Linked DNA regions of Drosophila melanogaster. The protein of the gene in region 1 interacts with the protein of each later gene in a pairwise test. Each region holds a gene or a part of one and is shown on either strand. Other genes may lie near its edges.

Region 1 (5,707 bases):
TTGTGACTCATTTTTGCTCGCTTATTCAGCACGACAACGAATACATAATCTATTAGTTCTGGGATCACAATACTTATAAGGTAAGTATCTCAATACCTATAAAGTGGGTTTTCAATCAGACATTAGATTATAATTATTATAATGTCTTTGGGTCAGTGAACTTTCAAAAGTGTTGGACAAGGACGGCGGAAAGAAAGAGAGGGATAGGTATTCCCACGCTAAATGGTACAACAATAACAAGATGTGACAACCACCAAGGCCTGATAAGCAAAGCACGGACACAAAAACAAAATGTTTAAAAATGATGTGGAGCAAATGTGGAACAAATACGAAGTAGTGGGGAAGAATTGGAAGGGTGACACACATGAAAAAGTGTTGGTAGCCACATGATAAATCAAATTTGATAAGATAAGAAAAGCTAAATAAAACAATTATCCAAACACACACCTTTGACCAACTTAAGGTATGCCCGCTGGGGTGTGACTTGGACAGCCTGATCACTGGTTTCGTAGTCCTTTAGGGGCTTATCCTGAAGGACATCTAGGACCGGCTGGTTCTCGTATATATCCGTTTCACTGCAGTTGTAGTTAAGTAGTTGCCGGCGAGAGAGACAACGATATCCCACCTGGTATTCCTGATATGCAACCAAATAGGAAAATGATTGACTTCGCAAGGATGACAGCAGCAGTAGGAACCGTTTATGTTTTCTTGCCATCTCCCTCGTACTCACCTTGTCCGTGCACCAAGCGCATTCCAGATGAGCGGATAAACATCTTTCGCAGCTGTCTGCGTGCCTGCACTGATCATCTGCGTAAAAGAGATGGCGATAACAAATCCGTTATGTCACGTCAAAGCTGCCGGCTAACAAACCAATTGAATCTGCATCCGAATGAGAGATCTCAGCTATTAGAAAAACCAAATATATCCACAAGAACGCCCTTCCGCCCAGTGACGTCATTTTCAAAATGCGTGCAATTTTCACTACCAACGATCACATATATTTTTTTTGCTAAGGGAGCTAGCGACCGTTCGGCCTTAGAAGTCCAGCGTAACTAATATTTGTTCAGTACGAAAAACGTTGATTGCTCCGCTCGTATCTTATCAGGAGAGAGTGACAAAAAATGTGAGAAGTTATTGGGAAAATGATGTGATTAGAATAAATGGCACTCTTAAAAATAAATGAGAGTAATAAGTGATAATAAAAGAAAGCAAATTTCATTCACGTGTTGTCTAACTCACTACATTTTAAGACATAAAAAATGCACTGCTATCGTTCTTATGTTTTGTTTAAATAAATATTAGTGTTTGGAAAGTATATACATAATATATGTATATTTATTTGGAGATCCATTTCTTTATTTATTTAGATATCATATTTAGTCACAATCAAAACCTTAAAGTATACTTTTATGTCTAGTTGTTTTAAAAATTCCATCCCATTAGAAATATATTATAGACCAGCTCCCATTTAATGGTAGAGAAGGGGTTACATATTTGTACTTTAAATATGTGGAGCCACAAGTTTTGTAGCCGTCAGAGCTTGTAAGGGACCGAAAATACTAAAATAAACCAAGACGAATTCATATGAAAGAGTCTAAAGCAAACAACAACAAACCAACAGCTACACATAAGCAAAACTATACAAATTTAATAAAAAAAATTTTGTTCATTTAGTGCAAGTCTTCTCTTAGAAAAATTTGTATTAAATAACACAATGAATAGGACTATCGGTTGGCATAATGTTAGTCTTGTGTTTTTCAGATTGCTTTTATGATTTTAAACGTAAAATAGAATTTAAATTATTTAATATATAAGTCAGAATAACGATTTTATTAGGAAATTACTGGTCACACTGTTAGGCTCAATTTGTCAAAACTGGTCTTAAGTTAGTGCTCTCTTACTCTCTTCGGGCGGTATAATTCTCCAGCCGAGCCATGGTCTTACTATCCTGTGACCAACCCCGCGGAGAAAAAACATTTTTACCATTATGTTGTTGTCCTCTTCTTTCATTTTATGAAATGGCTGTGTGAACAAGAGATGGATGGCGCAGTAGTGTGACCAAAATCGTGGGTAAAAAGACGCAGCAAAATACTGAAACACTCATGAAACGGCCAGTCGGCGAAAAATTTTCAAATCGCGGGGTCGTACAGCGGACGATTTTCAATCGGAACGGTTCAGCTTTGGAGCGGAGCGCGGAGTTTCGCATTTTTTGTGTTTGTAGCGGAAAATCGGATGAAAAACTCCAAATGTTTACCAAATGAGCGGCGACAAATACGCGACCAATTGACGAGATCGTGTGTGTTTTTCTCAATTAAACGGTGAGTGTGCGATAGAGATGGAGATGTAAAGTATGCAGTCAAATTAAAGTGCGGCAAAAAAATCAAAGGTGAAAAAGTCATTAAAAAAGTAAGCAAAATAGAATTGCTCTGTGGAATATAAAAATGTACATATACACATACATACATAAATAAATATATATATATATATGAATATCTGCAAGGAGACGACGCGCAGCGAAAAAGGAATTTTTTGTGTACTACGGCGGCGCTTTGTTGTTGCTGTTGTTGTAGGCGTCGTGCATTTGCTTTTGTTTTGTGTGTTTGGATGTTGTTGCCTTTGCTTTTGCTTTTGTCTATGCTAATCTGTGTTTTTGTGATTGGAAAAATAAGAAAAGAAAGCAGAAAAACTAAGGAAAGGAAAACAGAAACTGAAATTGAATAAGAAAATTGTCCATTTTGGTTTTCCGTGGCAGAGAAAAGTGAAAAGTTTAATTTACTAAACAAAGCGGCTAAACTGTGTGCGTGTGTGTAGGCGGTTGAGTCTACATGTGTTTGTGTGTGTGTGGCTGTGTCTCTCTAGTTTTTGCAATTCCCACTGCACACGCTGTTTCGTGTTGGATTATTGGATTATACCGCCAATAACGGCACACGCACAGCAACAAAAACAACAAAAAAGCGATAGGGGAGAGCAGACGACGCTGGGATTAATCATTAATGTCCTGAGATATAAAGAACAGGACTTCCGAAGAACAAGAACAAGGAGCAGTGTGGAAGAGGACGCAGCAGACTTAGAGACGAAAGCGAGAAAAGGTAAGTTTAAACTTCCAATTCCCCAAGGGTTTTCTATCTATCGTAATATTTAACTTATCGAATAGAAAATTATGTTCTTAGGTTGTTGGTATGAGCAATGACTACTACCTAACTCAATCTACGAAGTACAAAACATTATGAAAAATGAAGCAGATACAAGCTATGTGGAATTATTTCCAGATTGGAGGACTAGCTCCTGACAAGTCATATTTGAACTTTGACAAATAGCTATGTACATATCTATAATCTAGTATATTGTCCATATTCTCCCAGCAAGAGCAATGTGTGTATACTTTTGCCTGTGCCCTTTTTCAGTTATTTTTTGAAAACTGGTTAAATTAAAAAAGAGCTCGTATGCATGCACATTTATATAGTACTCATTTTTTTAAACTATAAAATTCATTGAGGAATTTCCAAACGTCAGAATCCATAATTATTGCAACTTGAATTTAACAGAGTTGTTCCTCATCAATTCGTTCGCTTCACTTAGCCGGGCGCTCATTTTCCAATGAAAATGTATTCTAATGAAGCTTTTCGCGATCCTAATCTGCTGCGCATAAATTTCTTTGGCAACTTTGGGTGATTTATTGCCTGTCGATTGTCGCCGTACTCGTAGTCGCAGGCGCTGCTTTTTGGCCAGTCCCAGAGACTCGGAGCGATTTCAATCCGATCCAAAAAGCGGTCCAAGAGACCCCCGTCCAGAGCGTACAAGACCAGACGGGATTGGACAGGACGGGACGGGACGGGACGGATCGGATCGGAACGGGACAGACTGGTGCCAGCTAATGTACGCGTCTCCCAGATGCCGCGGATTAGATTAAAATTCTCAATTTATGCGTTGCGCCAGTTGCCAATTGCAGTCCACCTTCCAAAGCCTCCTACTCCTCCAATCCAATGTTTGTATGTATATTTATGTACACACATGCATATGTACATATGCAAATGCAAAAAAAAAAAACTTGTCGCGCCTACTAAAATCTTTGCCCGAGGGCTCTGCGATGCCTTCATTCCAGTCTTTTCCGCAGTCTATCATTTGAAATCATGTCCCGGCGATAAGAAATTATAGTGGCCCGGTCATAATTTACGTGATTTGCCTGCCTAATGTCCTGCCGCATGACACGAGGACAAAGCGGGAACCATAAAACCAAGGAAGAATTCACATTTGGAGGCTGTTCCAAATGAGGAGGAATTAGGGCAGGCAGTTGGGGTCCCGGGAAGATTAGTAGTTGCAGCTAAATGGATTATTAATGCTTAACTTGGCGAACGAAATACGGGAGGCATTTATAAAATTAAAAAGTTATAATAACAATATTACGTTTGAAGCCTAATCCTATCAAATGTCTTATATATCTTTTTACATTCAAATGCGAAGCTTAAATTGACAGCATTAATATTGATAAGGAATCTCTGGAAGTGTTGCCAAACAACAGAGTGAGCATAGTTTGCTTATATTAACTATAATATATAAAATGTACTTATGCACTCTTTTACATCCTTGCCCATGGAAAACGCTAGTGCATTGTTTTTCAACCCCTTAACCTACGGTAGACCTATTATTTTCCCGGTGCCCTGTCCAGTTTTCCCTGGGGAATGGCACTCTAGGTGCACGAGTTAAGTCCGTGATCGAGGGTGGAGCCTTTTGTGAAGATATGATGTGTAAATGTATGAAGGTTTTTAAGTTTCAGCAGATAGTTGTAGTGTGAAGATTTCCAATAAAGAATACGACTGACTTTCTTGAAGTTCAAAATCAGTGTGTAGTTTATTGTCAGAAAGTGGCTACTCGAATCCTCCGTTTTCATCTTATACATAAGTACATAGGTTCTTAATTGTAAGCATAATGAACATGCCGACTCGGCATGTGGCTGGCTAGCTGGGGACAATGTTGCAGTGCGACTTTTGAGTAATGTCAGCATTCGGCCGGATGCGGTGTTCCAGTTGCCGTCTTCCCGGTTGAGTGTCCGATGATTTGTTTAGAGGCGTGGGGGTTTAGGGGGTGGGGTGGTAACTCCTCCCCCCCCAGTTCGAAGTGACGGCCATAGCGAAGGTATGGATGACGCGTAGATTGGTACGTGATGATCCTCGTGGATGTGGACGATGTGTTTCGTTCGTCGGTGCAGCCATAAGATGACTGCTAGGAACGTTACCAATCCGAGCAGAGTGTAGAGTGTCCAGGTGTGCTGTATAGTATTGTGATGGACGGCCAGGATTTTATCCATTGTTTGGGTGGCTTCGAGGTGCAGTTTTTCTAGGCTTAGTACCGTAATAGTGGTATTCCTAGTTACTTTTCGCATGGGGGGAAGATCAAAATCCGTCTGTTCAGGGAACGTGTCAACCGTGCCGTCGTAATCGATACCGTTAATCTGTATTGTTTCGTTAATGTATCTGATGATGGCTGACCCCATTATTGAGAGCTCGGAGCCGTTTGTTAGGGATACCTTCAGTTTGTTCACGTTGAATGCGAAGATGTAACCTCTCTCTGCCTCGAACACGTCGGTGATGGGGCCGGTTTCCCGTACATCGCAGGAACTGTTTTCTCCGTTCAAAAGGTGTTCCAGGCATGTGTTGTTCTGTGGTGTATCAACGTAGAAGTTCTCGTCGCACAAGAATGTATTATCCAG
Region 2 (4,513 bases), on another chromosome or scaffold:
GAGCAATCTGTGGATAGGTGAGCCGCAGGGGCACAAGGAATCTATGTATCCACTATGAATGATGGATTATCATTAGTTTCTTCATCACTAACCATTATATTGATGAATCTTTGTCTGTTCTTACCTACCAGCCGAATCCTTCGTGGGCAAGGGACGCGTCTTCAAGGGCGTGAGGCGGCATGCTCGCGGTCGCTTCGGCAAAGTGGAGTACAAGCACTGCCACTACTTCGTGCGCCTGGAGGAGGGCGAGCCGCCGCAGCACTACTACCAGGAGCCGCAGACGCCGGAGCAGCAGTACGAGAGCTGGATGGAGCAGATGCGAAGCCGGAAGATCATCAACTCGCTGTAGCCACCTGAATTGGCACTCGTATGCAATCGATCCGCACTCCTGCAGTCCTCCATCGCCATCGCGTCCACGCGCATTAAGCATTTTTTTTGGTTTTAGAAGATTGTTTAATAAAATAGAAACAGACAAAAGAACTATGTCAGAGGTTCATATTGTTCTTATTTTTACTTAGAGGAGTTTATTTTATTTAGTTTTGCGCGTATATACACAATGGATATTATTGGTTTTCTCTCTGGATGCCCGAGAGTTTCGGAACTCTAGTTGAAGTCAGGGAATGTTTGCAACTGTAAGCTTAAAGTAAATAAACTAATTCGCTCCAGGCGAATACTACTAATAATAGCTTACTAATTTATGCAAATTAATGCAATTTCGGATGTTTCTGAACGCAAATCCTAAGTATTTACTGATAAATTAGTTGTTTCTCTTTTAGAAGTTGTGGTTTAAATTAAAGTAGTCATTCAATTGTTAGCCTCTTGACCAGACCTTCTCACTCCCGTCCCTTTGAATGGCCTTTTGCTCTACTCCTGCTCCTTTTCCTCTTCATCCTGCAGGGTCTGTGCCAGCAGCTCCTCGACGGGGTCATCCTTCAGCGACTGGGTGATCTTTTCGAGGACCAAAGGCTGTCGCTCGCGCACCGCCTCATCATCTTCCTTGTCCAATTGCAGGCAGGCCAGTTTGGATAGCCTCGAATGTTTGCTGCGTCCAGCATCGCGTCGTCGCTTGCGGGATGTGGACTTAGTTTTGCCCCCTTCTCCAGTCTTACTCTTGTCCTTCTTCTTGGCTTTCAATTCCTTTTTCGTCGCACCATCTTTGTGATCCCTGAGCAGATGTCTCGCCAGATTCTGCGCACTGCTGAAACAGCGGCCGCAGTCCAAGGCCTGGCACTCGAAACGCCTGCCCGAGTGGGCGGTGAGCATGTGCTGGCGTAGATTCCTGAGGTACGAGTAACTCTTGCCGCATCCCTCCTCGTTGCAGGTGAAGGAGGTGGCGCACTCATCCGTCTGCGCCGCCTCCTTGTGCTTCACCTCGAGGTGACGCTTCAGTTCGCTCGGCTTGTCGAAGGCACTATCGCAGCGGTCGCACTTATGGCGATTCTTGCCGTGCAACGAGTCGCGACAATGCTTCGTATACAACGTCCATTTGTCGAACTGCAGCGGGCAGCCGGGACACTCGTACAGCTTGCAGCTGGGCTCGTGACTCTGGCACTGCCACTGCTGGTAGAAGCCGCGCGAGCACTTCGAGCAGCTGTACGGATACTCCAGCGTGTGCTCCCTGATCTCGTGGCGCTTCAGCTTGAGCTTTTGCGAGAATTTGGCACTGCACTGGCTGCACGGATAGACCTTTGGGCTCTCGTGGGTTTCGCGCATGTGGCGGGTCATGTTGCTAACCGAGATGAACATCTTGCTGCACTCCTCCAGCGCGCACTTCACCGTCTTCTTGGCCGCCGACTCCGGACGCTCGTGGGTGCTGCGCAGATGCCTCTTTAAGTGCGTCACAATCGAGTACGTCTTGTCGCAACCCTCGTACGAGCAGGCGTGCTTCTTCTGCAAAGTGGTGGCGGCGTTACTACTGGCTTACACTTAACATACTCTAACTATACTCACAATCCCTGTGTGATGATACTCATGGCGATCCAATTGGTCCAGCCGCTTGAATGTGGCCTCGCATTTGGGCATGCTGCACGCGTACTTGGCCGAGCCGATGCTGTTGCGGCGTCCCTGGCGCTGCTTGAACTCCTCCAGAGCGGTCTCCATATCGCTGTCGCTGGCAATTTGCGTTCCAGGCGGCATTTTTGAGGGTTTTTATCTCCGAAATATTGCAATCTCTTTTTTTTTTGTGTTTTAGGTTACCGCGACATCCGCAAATGTCGTGGAATTATTTGGCCACACTCGTGTACGTGGAAATAGCCAAGGACTTAAGGTTGAAGAGATTGATTTTATTTCAATTTGGTGTAGCAAATCTATAACTTATAGGTTTCTTTTAATTTGGTGTAGAAAATCGATGATGTCCCTGGTAAGCGTTTATGATTTCGTTTTTGGAGAGATGGTAGATTTTTTGGTATTTTTCCAGGGCTGGAAATTGCTGCCTAGCAGTGTTGTACTGCAACAACTGAATAAGATGTACGATACGTTATCGAAAACGTTACATTGGTCACATTATTATTCATTTATTCAAAATATAATTGTCACATACGTTATAGCTAAGATTTTTTTTAATGTGCCTGGGAAAAGTTTGCAGTAACCCCGTTGTTTATTTGCAGAAAATTCTGCGTATTCCTTTTCCCAGTCTTTTTGAATGATTCTGTTTAATTCTCCAACTCACTACGGTGAAAATTCCTTGCGTCGATGCATTTAACAAATATATGCTTGTTAGTCCCCCGTCTCAGAAACTACAATCAAGAATTGGTCTGAAGACGAGTATAATAATATTCTATATAGACAAGCAGTCAGATACGCCTGAGAAAAAGGAAATTCAAATTTCATTGCACTAACGTGAGCTAGTGATGACAAAAACGGTAATTGGCTCAACTATCGTACCGGTGTGCGGTACCTATCGGAATTGGAATCAATGCTGGAAAAGGTAACTATATTTTGGTACACGGTATTTTTAAATTTAAGTACTGAAATTAACTAATATTTATTTAATTAATATTTTGTGCGATTATTAATACCAATTAAAAAATATTGATCGATAATCTGGAAAAAAATGCACTTGATATTTAAGATATTTGAGAAACTGCAAACAGTTTCAAATTGTCCGCTCTTGCCAGCTGCGGAGGAATTTCCCCATTTCCCAGTTTGGTCACATCGCGCTGTCGAAAGAAAATTTTTTTCTTGCAAAGAGAAACAAAGCAAAGCAATAGTCGAAAGTGAGAAAGACGAAAGAGGAGACAAAGGAGCGAAACGGAGAAAATCAGAGAAGCAGCAAGCAGAGCAGGAAGGGGGATTGGATAGGAACTCGAAAGCAATCGGCCAGGATCGGGAACAGGATGAACAACGGATTCAGCACCGGCGAGGAGGACAGTCGCGGGCACACGGACCAAACGTGCTGCCTAATCGACGACATGGAGCGGTGTCGCAACCAGGCTGGCTACGCCAGCTACTCCAAGCGCATCCAGAAGACGGTGGCCCAAAAGCGGCTCAAGCTCAGCAGCGATCCGGCCGCGCAGCACATTTACATCTGTGACCACCACAAGGAGCGCATCCAGTCGGTGCGCACCAAGCGTCGGCGCAAGGACAGCGAGGACGACAGCAACGAGACGGACACGGACCTGCACGAGTTCCCCGATCTCTACCAGCTGGGCGTGAGCACGCTGCGACGCTACAAGCGCCACTTCAAGGTCCAAACGAGGCAGGGCATGAAGCGGGCGCAGCTGGCGGATGTAAGTTTGACCTAGTTAACGAATTGAGCAGGCTATGTCCACTTTCTGTTGCCGGATTTCAGTGGGGTAACACGCTGGTCTAATGTGCTCCGTGATGCTCCATAGTTGGCCCTCTTGTAGTAGCCTCCACTCTAAAGAAAAGGCAGAAAAATGTGCCATGCCCTTTATAAGGTTTTCTAAACCCTGTTTTAATCAAGTTGCAAACCTCTACTCTTCTCCCGCAGACAATTATGAAACACTTCAAGACAATACCCATCAAGGAGAAGGAGATCATCACATTCTTCGTGTACATGGTGAAGATGGGCTCGAATAAGCTGGACCAGAAGAACGGCCTTGGCAACGACACCACCTGAAGGCGCGTCGGCGGGCGGAGGGAGGAGGAGGACGCCGACGACGTCTACTCCTTTTAACGCTGGCCAACTGCCGATCAAAAGAAATTAACAACCAAACTTCTCACATTGTTGCTGCATTTGCTGGACGTCGGCATTGTTGACCAGAATAGGGATGAACGAGAATATTGATAGTGCAATGGCTCATCCTCATCCGTGTGACCCCCAAGAAACCCAATCCTATACCCATAAGCCACCACTGCCCAAACCCTTAAGCCTTTCCCCCGACTCCCCGGAACACAAGTAATATGCGAAAAGTAAAACAGCAATGAAAGAACGTAAGGAAGAAGGCAACTGGTGCTCCCACGAAAAACAAAACAAACAAAAATTAAAAATAAATAAACTAGTATGTTGCGAAAGTGAGTCTAATATTAAAAAAGAAATTTACAAAAACTA

The links.
Region 2: the proteins of CG42238 (region 1) and CG9609 interact in a two-hybrid assay, tested with the Drosophila melanogaster proteins (one large-scale study listed by BioGRID).

Annotation. Positions count from the first base shown.
Region 1 is NT_033779.5:21,048,385-21,054,091, reverse strand, and holds the start of CG42238 (uncharacterized protein), read left to right. Parts: upstream 1-2,108; 5' UTR 2,109-2,232; coding exon 2,233-2,318; intron 2,319-2,669; exon of another isoform or gene 2,670-3,089; intron 3,090-5,707. Other genes in the region: Itgbn (integrin betanu subunit), read right to left, coding at 448-634, 731-807, 871-958.
Region 2 is NC_004354.4:16,784,615-16,789,127, forward strand, and holds CG9609 (uncharacterized protein), read right to left. Parts: upstream 2,395-4,513; 5' UTR 2,137-2,394; coding exon 1,951-2,136; intron 1,891-1,950; coding exon 865-1,890; 3' UTR 501-864; downstream 1-500. Other genes in the region: mRpL22 (mitochondrial ribosomal protein L22), read left to right, coding at 1-17, 132-349; Sap30 (SIN3-associated polypeptide 30), read left to right, coding at 3,336-3,728, 3,953-4,081.